Linked DNA regions of Coturnix japonica. The protein of the gene in region 3 purifies or fractionates together with the protein of the main gene of each other region. This does not show direct contact. Links are inferred from orthologs where the notes say so. Each region holds a gene or a part of one and is shown on either strand. Other genes may lie near its edges.

What was found. Proteins that work in one complex are often made in the same cells at the same time.
Region 1: the proteins of WWP1 (region 3) and RNF11 purify together in Homo sapiens (affinity purification with mass spectrometry; 3 studies listed by BioGRID, with this or other methods). This does not show direct contact. The link is inferred for Coturnix japonica from reciprocal best matches to the Homo sapiens genes WWP1 and RNF11.
Region 2: the proteins of WWP1 (region 3) and SPART purify together in Homo sapiens (affinity purification with mass spectrometry; 5 studies listed by BioGRID and IntAct, counting the BioPlex papers as one, with this or other methods). This does not show direct contact. The link is inferred for Coturnix japonica from reciprocal best matches to the Homo sapiens genes WWP1 and SPART.

Annotation. Positions count from the first base shown.
Region 1 is NC_029523.1:21,407,679-21,412,121, reverse strand, and holds the start of RNF11 (RING finger protein 11), read right to left. Parts: upstream 2,803-4,443; 5' UTR 2,337-2,802; coding exon 2,214-2,336; intron 1-2,213. UniProt on the Homo sapiens protein: Essential component of a ubiquitin-editing protein complex, comprising also TNFAIP3, ITCH and TAX1BP1, that ensures the transient nature of inflammatory signaling pathways. Promotes the association of TNFAIP3 to RIPK1 after TNF stimulation.
Region 2 is NC_029516.1:154,378,301-154,382,406, reverse strand, and holds the start of SPART (spartin), read right to left. Parts: upstream 2,803-4,106; 5' UTR 2,678-2,802; intron 1-2,677. UniProt on the Homo sapiens protein: Lipophagy receptor that plays an important role in lipid droplet (LD) turnover in motor neurons.
Region 3 is NC_029517.1:111,484,356-111,488,001, reverse strand, and holds part of WWP1 (NEDD4-like E3 ubiquitin-protein ligase WWP1), read right to left. Parts: intron 2,194-3,646; coding exon 2,034-2,193; intron 1-2,033. UniProt on the Homo sapiens protein: E3 ubiquitin-protein ligase which accepts ubiquitin from an E2 ubiquitin-conjugating enzyme in the form of a thioester and then directly transfers the ubiquitin to targeted substrates.

The DNA of each region.
Region 1 (4,443 bases), on a different chromosome or scaffold from region 3:
GCACTCAGTGATGAAAAGGAGTTTGGCATGCAACAGTGAAGAGATTATTAGGTGCCTATTTTGCAGTTAGAAGTGAACACCTTAAAAAATTATTGCTTAACTCGATTCCCATATGGACACCCACAAAACAAGCGTGCCAAGACACAGAAAATGTTTTGAGTATCAAGATAGCACAGACTTTAGCTCAAAGAGACACACAAGTCCTGTCTACAACGCTGCACCTACCCCAGCAAGCTTCCTTCGCTCTGCTTGTTAGCACACCTTGAGAGAGCGGCTCAGGAAGTTTGCACATCGTTGCTGCAAACCCAAAGGAAGCAAACCCAAATGCAGCCATTTTATGGCTGAGGCTCCAGCAGCTCAGTTTTAAGTTGTTAATCGTCCACAGCTCCTCGTGCGCAGCAGTAGGTGCCACAAACAAGTTTTTAAACTCTTGGCCTTATTTTAAATTCCAGATCATAGCTCAGATTCAGTGTTAGAAATGGGCATGTGGGATTCTTGTCCTTATAGGTGATACTTTCTACAATGTTTGAATGAGAATTAAAGTGTGTAAGAGAACATGCAGACCTGCGGAGGAAGGCAGGCAAGGAAGAGGATAAGATCACAACATCCTGCTGCCACTACAGCAATAATGGAGCTCCAGGAGTTCCCCAGGTTCAGCGCTCGGCTTGCACACCTTTTCACCCCAAAACAATTTGAAGTTACAACCCCCCTCAACCTCAAAGCGTGTGGAATACTGCAAAGTATGAAGGTGAAGGTCTTTTGTCATCACAAAGCACTGTGTTTCTTTATTTGTGGAGCGAGTATCTTTGAATGTTGACTATGCAACACAAGATGCCCCTTACAGTGAGTGTTTGAGATCTGCTGGGATCAGCGCGTGGGGTTTGGGGGAGTTTTGCTATGAATGCACACAGTAACAAATGTCTGCGAGTTTGCTTATTTTACTGTCTGCTGTGCTCTGAAGTCGACAGGAGAAGGCCTGCACAGTGCAATTTCTCAACTCCTGCAAGAGCCGACAGGTTTTTTTCCAAGGGACAATTTTCATTGCGTTCCCAAACAGGAGGGACAAGCAGGATTGGCTCAGAACATCGCCTGTCAAAAAAACCTGACACCACACATCTTTATTTAATGGACTTGTGCAGACTTTACTAAAAAGTCAGGGAAAAAAACCCAACCCATCTTAGGGAATTTGTTCTGTCATGAAGCAGTCACATAAAGCGAGCAGCTCTGCAGGGCCCAGTGGTCCCAGCATGGTTCCACCAAGGGTTGCTGTGCCCATGGAGCAACCCAGGGACCTCCTGTCACAGCCGGTGTTCGTCGAGTATCACAGGTTAATATCTGCCCTGCTAAATACTTCCTGCAGCCTTGTTAATAATACGTTAAGGTCTGCAACTCCTGCGTGACTCCCCACCCTAAGGAGCGCAGGACTCATCTGTACCTGTCACTGTTACAGATCCCTTCAGACAGGGCTCGTGTCCTGCTCAGAGCCACGTACAATCCTTCCTTAGGAGATGGAGATGAAGCAGGGGATAAATGCAGCCCTGGGTCCTTTTGGTGGCCATCACAGCACAGAGCTGTGCCGGGACCCCACAGCTGTGAGGACGTGACGGAGCACCCGGCGTTCTTCCCCAGCTCGTCATCAGCCGTCAATGTACACATCCTCTCCAGGCAGGAGAGCGAACGGCCCTTCCTGGAACCGCACGGAGCTGAAAGAAACGGGCTCACCCCGCAGCACGAAGTTACTCCGGTTCAGCTGCTGCCGAAGCGCCGCAGACAAAGCCGGGCAGCGCCGAGCGCGCGGCCTCCGGTGCGGGGAGCACCGAGAGCGGCACAGACAGTGATGTCACCGCGCGACGACAACAAAGGAAGCGGCACGGCTGGAAACTCGACGCCTTCCCCTCCTGCTTTCAGCCCAAATCCAGACACGATCGAGGCGGCTCCGACCCCTGGGCGGGCCCCGACCCCCCTCCGCCGTCTCCGGCTTCGTGTCCCGAACGGTCCGTGCGGCCCCGCGACAGCTCGGCGACCCCCCGGGGAACAAAGCGGCGCTCCTCACTTCACGGCCGGGACCCGCCGTTCGGTGCCCGCGGGGACGGACGCTGTGCAGCGCCCCGGGGGGTCCTCGGGGCTTCAACCCGCCCCCCCGTCCCGTGCCCCTCTCCGTCCGTCCCCGTCCCCACCGGCTCCGCCGCGCCGCTCCCCGCCCCCTCCCGTACCTGATATGGCGGCGGCGGCTCCTGATCCGGCTCAGCCCCGTCCCCGTAGCTGGCCCGGTCCGACTGGGACTCGTGGAGCAGCGAGATGTCATCTGATGTGGGGGACTTGAGGCAGTTCCCCATTTTCCTTCCCCCCGGGGAGCAGGGGCGTCCCCTCCGCTTTCTCCCCCTCCTTACGACGGACGGCTCCGCACCCTCAGCCGCCCCGCAGCGCGCAGCCCGCAGCCGCCCCGCCGGGGAGGCTCATGCCAGCCCGGCCCTAAGCGGCTTAGCGGCAGCACGGCCGCCCCGCAGCGCCGGCCGCACTTGGCCCCGAGCCGTGGGGCCGCAGGGCTCGGCTCCCGCCCGGGAGCGCTGGGGCAGCGGGGCTCAGGTGGGGTCCGCCCGCCCCCCGCCCCGCGGCAGCCCGGTGCCGTTCCGCTTCCTGGTCACCAGCTTTCTGCGCACTGGGCTTTGTCGCACAGGCCGCCCCGGCTCCTCCTCTCACTCCGCCCCGCCGGGATCGCGCACGTAGGGCCCGGCGGCACCGCGCTCGGCGGCCGGGGAGCTGTGCCCGCCCCGGCGCAATGAGGCCAGGCCGGCCGCCTCCGGCCCCACAGCGAGCGGCGCTTCGCTCCGCCCCGCAGCTGTCGGTGTGCGGGACGGACCCGGCGTCTGAGCTCGGGGCGGAGCTGTGCCGGAGGCCGAAGTTCCTGCCCCGCGCTGGGCCCCGGCAGCCGCTAAGGGCAGAGGGCCGGGCCGTGCTGCTCTTTGTGTGCGGAGGCGGCCTTGGAGGTGATGAGAGCTACAGCAATACGTGATTGATGTAACGGTGTGTGCAGCCTCTCAATTGAGAAGATAAACTTTTAAAGTGAAATACAGTTGTATGCACAGTGCGAAGTCGGCACCCTTCTAACATAACCACACCAACGCAGCATGAAGGAAACATGTTTCTTAAGGCACATTTAAGGGTTTCCTCCAGCTCAGATCCTCATAGTGCCTTCTTGCCCATCAGGTTCAGGCCACTGAATATTGATCTGAAGCAAATTCAACACAGGTGACAGCAACTAGAAATTAGGTCCTGAAGCAATAAAGCATGGCCGGCTTTAATCAAGGGTGTCTCAGCTGATCTGTGTCAGGCTCCCATCTGAGTTCTTTAAGCCAGCTGCTGGTACTTGGCTCTTCCATCTCTGTTCAGACCTTTGAGAGGCCCTTTAGTGCTTGGAAGGTGGGGAGCTGTGCTGCTGCTTGTTATCCACGTGAGTTCCTCCTTGAGGATTTCCTTTTATTATTGTTTGAGAGTTTTGTTTTGCTGCTGGTTATTGGGTGACTTAAGCACTTTCAGTATGAAATCTATAGCAACAGAGAAGATATTGTTGGCGTTTACAGGGCTTGGAAAAGGTTTTCCTAAGAAGCTAGAAGTAGTGCCTGAGTTGTGAGTGTTGCTTGTGATGGAAACACTTTGTAATAGTGTGCTGTAACTCACAATGAATACTGTACAGGGTGTGAATGTTTATCGCAGGAATATGTTGACTCGGTTAATAGGAGAATTAAGAAGGTAAGCAGTGGTTGGAGAGGAGTCACTGCCTCTCTTAAGAGTAGCTTCAAGGTGAGAGCAATGTCAGAGCTGCTTCTGCAGGATCCTGTGGTGGGTTAAGGCGCAGCTAGAGGACGTTCAGCTGTGCAGTGGTGGCATCACTGACAAGATAACAGGTAATGAGAAGAATATCTTTATTCTACCACCATTTCTCATTTTATCATAAAATCATTCAGACTGGAAAAGACCCCTTCCACAAGTCCAACCCCAACCCGTTCCCCCCATGCCCACTGACTATGTCCATCAGTCCCACAGCATCATGGTTCTCCAAGCATGGTGATTCCACCACCTTCCTGGGCAGCCTGTGTTAATGTGTCACCACTGTTTCTGAAAAGAAATTGTTCCTAATATCCAACCTGAACCTTCCTTAGTACTGTTTAAGGTTATTTCTCTTTCTCTGTAGAGCTTCAGTGTGTGTAGTTGCTGTAGCTCCATGTAGGCCAAGTAGCTTTGAATGAGGAAGAGCAATTAGCAGTCATTACCAAGCTCTTCGAAGTAGGGGTGGGTTAAGCCCCTTGTTTTTCCATGCCATTTATTGCTGCTATGTTGGGTTGGTGGTTAACAGTGGCTGGGCACCATCAGGTCACAAATTGAAAAGTGGTCTTGAAGATGGAGAGTGGAAATGAATTCTGTTCACAAATGCAGAAACGTGGG
Region 2 (4,106 bases), on a different chromosome or scaffold from region 3:
TTTACTGAAAATCATTTTTCTTTTACAGAGGATATAAAGACAGCTCAACAGTGAAGAACACTGATCTAAAAATTATTTGAAGCTTCCAGAACAGAAAAGACTTAACAGAGCAATAAAGAAGGTCAGAGTTTAACCCAACATCACAGTTAATTTCTTTATGAGCAACACTCTGCATTTTGACGTTTTTAGAGCCTGTGAATTTAATCAAGTCCCTGCTTAGGGCAGTAACTACTTGCCTGTGTGAACAAACACTGCAGCATCATCACCTGCTTTGCCCCGTGTGTTTTGATTTGGTTTTGTTAGGGCAGCTAAGGCAAAGATACTATCCAGATTTTAAGTAATTACTTTTCCTAACAATTAATACCTTGTCTTCTTTTACAGTGACAAGTGAAATGCAAAAGTAACAGCTGTATTTCTGCTTAAGAGTGAGCAATAGTAAAGTACCACTCTATATGCTCGCTGCACTGTCAACAGAACTGTTCTCACTAAAGCAAAATCTTTGTTAACTCGAAATAAAAGACGTGTCAGGAAACTGAGATGTCAGCAGGTCCAGTGCATACAAGGCAGCACTGCATGGCCATGTGTGACGGAGATACAAAAACAGGCTTAGCAGCTCAGAAGAGTGGGAGCATTGTTAACTCATCTCTGATTGTCTGAAACATCCCAAATTTGTGCTGCGTGTACAGCAGTCAGAGCCAAACTATTCATTTGTGGGACAATGCACTTAGGAACAGAGGAAGGGATTCACAGTTGATTTTAATACAGGAAAACTAAAAGTCAGTTTATAACCAAGTGTATAAATTTAATAAATAAAAATGAATTAAAATCAATACAAAATAATGGTGGGTATACTGAAGTAAATAAACCAGCTGGGTTGCTCCCTCAGAATACAAGAGGAAACATTTCCTGAAGTCAAAGTAGTTTCTTGATCATATGCAAGGAATATCAGTCGTCATTATCTTTTTCAGTGTATGATTTTAATACAGTATTTAAATGCCCAGTATGTTGTAATCTATTTCTGTACATTGTTATTTCCTATGTTTTAAAGCTAGGATAAATGGCCAAGTGCATACTGTTAAATACAAGAGCTCCAAAATTGAGCCTTTGGATCTGGATGGCCAGATATTTTCTTAGTGCTCAGTAAGACTCACAGGAACTTGTCTTTGAGAAAGCTGATTCAAAAGAGAGCTAAGAAAAGAGCTGATGAACACGGTAGATAATCACAGATCAAACCAGCACTTGACTCATTCCTCAGCCCCCTTCCAACATCATTACAGATATACTGTCTGGTGCCAAGTGACTTGGCCAAGGGATGCTAGAGGGCAGTGGGGCAATGTGGGCCAGCTTACAATATCAGATTCCATTTGATATTGTAAGCTGGCACCTCAGCTTTCTGGCTGACCACCCTTCTTCTAATGCAGCAAACTCCATTAAAATAATAAAAAAGTTTAAAAATGCAGTTTGGTTGTGGTTCTAACTGTGAAAACGTAAACAAGACGCCTAATGCTTATTAAGGGGATTAAATATCCTGACCGACAGAGGTAGAATATGCCATCCAGCTCCCTGTATTTGTAGGTGCGGCTATGGGAGAACAAAACCAACCCCTTAATCCAGAGATCTTCCGATATGTCACCTGTTTATCTGTCAGCTGCTGATTTCAAAGATGAAGACAGTGAAGGAGAACTACAACACAGACAGAACTATTTAAGCCTTAATCTTAATAAAAAGCAATTAAGGCATCAGTAACTTTTGAGAACATACTGATCCAGCGCAACTGTTACAAAGGATTCAGTTGAACATAGCAGATACTAGCTGATCAACTTCATCTCTTTTATTTTCCCCCCCTTGTAGCTTATTTAAATTAGCCTCTTCAGAGTAGCGCTTAAATTTTTCATTAAGTGGTGGCCTACAGCTGATATTTAAGCACTGAGGGCTGGGTAATACGAAAGCCAGCGATCTGACCCGACACGGTCATTCCTACCCTCCTCTCAGCTCTGCTGTCTCAAGCCTATTTTCTCCTCATAAACCAACTTTCTTCCTGACGCCGTGCATAGTGTGAGCTCCCATCACAGGGTGTCAGGGCAGAGCTGTCAGCTCTCAAGTGCCAACCCAGCACATCTCCGGAACGGAAAGTGAGCACACGGCGGGGCAGCTGGCGGCCCGGACTGCGTACAAAGGCACCATCACTATCTCGTGTTCTCCGGGAAAGGGAAACGATTCCAATAAGGTCCGCAGTTACGCAAGACTGTTATTTAACGCTTTTAATTACGAGCAGGCCTACCAGCCCCCCGCCATCACCAACAGGTTTCTCACCAGCAGATAAAAACAACACAAGGCCACCCCGATCCGAACCTCTCAAAGCAGGCGGCACACACGGAGCAGGGAATTCTACCTCAACTTCCGTACCGAGCCGCTTACAGGATACCTGCTTCTCAGCGACACTTTAACCCGGAATGATCCGGCCCCGTCGCTCCCTTTAAGCAGCACCAGCCGGTACCCGACCCGGCTCAGCCCGCAGCACCACCACAACCAGCCCCGGGCTCAACCCGGGGGGCAGCCCCGCCTCCCCACGGCCGCCCTCCCACCGCTCGCAGCCGAACGAGCCGCCTCACCTCAGCCCACCGGGCCGGCTACAGCCGAGCCTCTCCGAAAGGACCCGGCCCCCAGTCGCGCTTACCGAGGCAGTTAACAGCCGGACAACCCCACCGCGGCCTGTAGTCGGGCGGCGGCAGCCGCTCCGCCCTCGGCTCGGGGCGGGGCCTTGCCCGGGCTGTGCCCCAAGTCCATGCCCCGCCGCAGGACGGCCCCGCCTGGGCTGTCCATGGGACCTGCGTGGGGGCGAGGCTGTGTGCCTGAAAGAGGCTGTTCTCTGTGAAAGGGACGTAGTGTGCTTGCTGCATCTCCACGACACCAAAAATATCACGGCTGATGTTTGAATCAATGGGAGGTGTGCTCCTTGAGAGCAGCTCGGCAGAAAAAGACCTAGGGGTCCTGATAGATGAGAAACTTAACATGAGCCAGCAGTGTGCTCTGGCAGCCCGGAAAGCAAATGGGATCCTGGGCCTCATCAGGAGAGGGTGGTCAGCAGGGATAGGGAGGTGATCGTCCCTCTCTGCTTTTTTTGAGCCCCCATCTGGAGTACTGTAGTCCAGGTGTGGAGCCTCAGTACAAAAGACATGGAGATTTTGGAAAGGGTCCAGAGGAGGGCCACGAAGATGATTCAGGGGGCTGGAGCACCTCCCGATGAGGACAGGCTGAGAGAGTTGGGCTTGTTCAGCCTAGAGAAGAAGAAAGGTTGCGGGGTGACCTCATTGCAGCTCTTCAATACCTGAAGGGAACTTACTCCCAGGAGGGAGTAAACTCTTCGAAAGGTCTGACAATAGTAGGACTAGGGGAAACGGTTTTAAGTTAAAGAGGGAAGATTTAGATTGGATGTTATGGGGAAGTTCTTCAGTAGAGAGTGGTTCGCCCTGGAACAGGCTGCACAGGGAGGTGTGGATGCCCCGTCCTTGGAGGTGTTCAAGACCAGGTTGGACGGGCCCTGGGCAACCTGATCTAGTAAATGTGTATGTTTGGTGGCCCTGCCAGGCAGGGGGGTTGGAACTACATGATCCTTGAGGTCCCTTCCAACCGGGTCATTCTGTGATTCTGTGATTCTGTGAATATAATCCGGCAGCTCGTTGTTTATGTGTCACTGACCATCATGTTAAAAGTTTTGTGCAGCTGGACTTTTCCACACTGAAGATTTCAGGCCTAGTTGAACCTAGTACAGGTGCTCTCCTGGTGGGCAGCAATGAGCCAGCAGTGTGCCCTTATGGCCAAGAAGGCCAAGGAGAACCTAAGGTGCATCATACGTGGCGTGGCTTACAGATCGAGGGAGGTGATCCTCCGCTCTGCCCTGCCCTTGTAAGGCCACATCTGGAGTGCTGTGTGCAGTTCTGGGCTCCTCAGTTCAGAAAAGATAGGGGTCTTCTGGAGACAGTCCAGCAGAGGGCCCAAAGGTGATGAGGGGCCTGTAGCATCTCCTGTATGTGGAAGGCTGAGTAGTCTGAATCTGTTGAGCCTGGAAAAGAGAAAAGCAGAGCGGGAATTTCATCCCTGTTTAT
Region 3 (3,646 bases):
ACAGGCATGGGTTAACAATCACTAGATCAAGTACTAGATCAGACTGCCCAGGGACCCATGTAACTTGGCCTTTTTAACACCTCCAGGGACAAGGCTTCCACAACCTCTCTAGGCAACCTGTTCCAGCACCTCACCATTATCAGTAAAAAACTTACCCCCGATATTGAATACAAATCTCTTTTCCTTCAGTTTAAAACCATTTCTTATTGTCCCATCACTATCTACCCATGTAAAAAGTTATTTCCCTCATATTTATAAACTCCCTTTAAATATTAGAAGGCCAGCTGCAATGAGGTCTCCTCGCAGCCTCCTCCTTTCCAGGCTGAACAAACCCAGTTCCTTCAGCCTGTCTTCATAGGAGACATGCTCCAGACTCCAGATCATCTTCGTGGCCTTCCTCTGGACCCTCTCCAAAAGCTACACATCTTTCCTATGCTGAGGGCCCTACATTTGGATGCATTACTCCAGATGAGGCCTTGTGAGAGCAGAATAAAAGGGGACCTGCTGGCCACCCCTCTTCTGATGGAAGTCAGGATACCATCAGCCTTCTGGGCTGCAAGTATATTCTAAATCATTCTAAAAATAGGCTGCAGTATGGCCTACTGCTTGACACTCCTTAAAACTGAAATAGTAAGAAAAAGCACCAGTGTAACAGCCCATTTTCTCCAGAAAAAGTCAACATTCCATTTGACTGCACTACATTCTCATTTCCCCTCTGAGGATTACTCTACCATGCATGAAGGCATGAAAAAGGCATGAGGCCTTATTTTGTTTGTTTACTTTTAAGCTAATCTATAATTCTCATGGGAGAGTGAACTAGTAGAACTGGACAAAATAAACACCTAAAGCATTACCCAGCCATATGATTTCCTGTTGCTTGTTTTGTTTTGATTTTGTAGAAGTACACTCTTAAATCATCTCACTTATTAGCTACGGTAATCTCACAGCAAACATAACAATTGTGTCATGCAGGTATCAACTACCATTTCACAATTTCATTTTGTTAAGTGTAACACAAGAGAGTAACACAGAGTAATACAAGACATATATTTACATTTAACTCAGCTGCAGTCAAAAATGTCTGTGGTTATTTCAATACTTAAAGTCAAGTTAAGTTTTTATGATCTGAAAGCAGCAAGTCTTCTAGAATTCTGAGACAAACCGAAGTTATAACTGCACTTATTACAACCATCTTGAACACTAAAAATGATTCACATTTAGGTTACTGCTTGAGCTATTTTAAGTCATTAGAAGGTATTCAGGAAGTGGAGCAGTTAGTGCCATTCAAACCTTGAAACCATCTACACTAGGCACTATTATATCAGTCTCTTTTTCTTACAGAATTTAAAATGAAAATAAACAATTTCAAGACAGAAAAGTTTGATTATTAATGACTTTAAATACTTGAATTAAATTCTCATTCTCTTCTACAAATGAGGTAGATTTCTCAGTTAACAGGCATTTATATGGTGCCTATGAACAAAAATCACTACAAAAATAGACAGTATTTAATTCTAGCAAATAATTTGCTTCTCCACATCTTGCTGCTAAATGGCACTGTGGTTCCCTCTATCACTAGAAGGAAGGAAAAAGATGTTCTAGCAAGACTCCATTAGAGATACCTGACTCAGTGATACAAGGAGAAATGATGTAACATCTCTGCTTAGCTTACAGCTTTAGGAGAAACATGATAGCAGTGATTCGGGATGCTATAAACTCCCCTGAAAGCTTCTGCTTTTCCATGTATGCAACCTCTGAACCTTAATTTAAACACACATTTGGATACAATGTACTCTGCAATATGTTTTTAACTCATTTTTTCTAACACATCAAGATGTACTAAGTCTAACTGAGGAACCTGCTTACAAAAATTAGTCACATTTTTCAGAGTGTGAGTATTCAGATAACAAAGCAACTGTTTACATGAAGTACACACATCAAATTCACAAAATTAAAATGTTACTTTGAATTTCCTATTTCAGAAACGATTGTATAAATACAAGAAACAATAAAACTTTAAAACTCTAACCTACCATGGCAATAAAACGCCCGATGAAACAGAAATATGAAAGATGGTCAGGATTGATTGTTGATGCTGGATTTATCTGTAGGCAATAGTTGCTCTTGCCAGCATATTCAAACAGGCAGTACATAGGGTTCAGTACTTCATGGGAAAGCAAGAAAAACCATTCTCTATGGAAAAAAAAAAGAACACATATACATAAAAACTATCAAATACACATGGACACATCTTTATCATCATTCCCTTTAAGCATCTGATGAAATGGTCAAAATATATGCAAACTTGGAAAAATAATATAAACAGAGTTGTATTACAACCATATAAAAATATAAAACTTTACACACTTTTTAGATATAAAAACAATCGATCCATAAAAAACAGAATGCTACAAAGTCTCCATTTCCAGCATTTAGAAATGATTGTTCTCACCCTGAACACACTCTCACAGCTTAGGTTTTAGCTGCCCATTAGTTGCACGGAATCCACCCTCACCATGCCTGCTTTACTGCATATTGACTCAAATCTCTATTTAGAAAGTTCTGAACAATCCAGGTAAAATCCAACATCATCTTATTTCCATTCCCAGTCTGTCAGCAAAACAAACACCGAGTTACAGCAATTTAACAAATTACCGTGCATTAGTTAAGCTAACAGGACACAACGATGTGAAAATACTTTTTTGTTGAGGCTTAATACATTTTATTCCCTGGTTTCATAGATCCCAACTCAGCTGACCTGAAATTATAATAGAATCTGGCATTTCTGTATCAAGGTATCTGATGTTTAAAATATTTGTCACTTTTAGCATTTTTATAAGGCTTATAACCAGTAACCTCAAATGCAGACATATATACTCTAGGATTTTAATACCAGACCCTAAGCACTTTAAACTGAAAACCAAGGGCTATGGAAAAGCTGCAAAAGGAGAAAGGTCTATCCTGTAACAATTGAAGGAACAGAATTCTATTCTGACCATCTTTCAGCTGTCACATTTCTACGGTGTCTTTTCTATCCCTGTATTTACCTGAAATTGGGGAATAAAAATGAGAGGTTTGCAGATGTGTTTCTCCAAACAGTTCAATGAAATCTAAGTCATGGATCACGCCTTGATAAACTATACTTCTAACTGAGAGGCTATTTAGAAAGAATAAACAGAGAAAGGCAGCCAGGATACCACAGCCCTAATTAGGTTCTGTGCATCTTTTAATAAGCACGAGAATGTTGTATGCCATTCTATGCAAGTTTTGTACTGAGACAACATTAACTCTGTATAGCAGTATCAAATTTAATAAACTTTTAGATTATATCACAGCCAGATAACAAGAAAAGAAACAATGACATTAGTCATCAGCAAGACATTTGTAGAAGCAGCATCTTTTTCATGCTAACAGCTAGAACTAGCTGCAGGATAAAGCATTCAGATTGGTCCTGCCAAACAAGGTAAAAATCTGGAGGGGACACACGCAGAGTTTAGCCTGCTAAGAGACAGGATGATTAATCAGGTGCAGTGGCTTTCAATACTTGTGTTAACACAGTATTGCATGAGCAAGTCAGTATGTGAGCATTTATTTCAGAATTCTCATCTGTATTACAAGGAGGCCCTTGCTGTTTCTTAGCTTCACA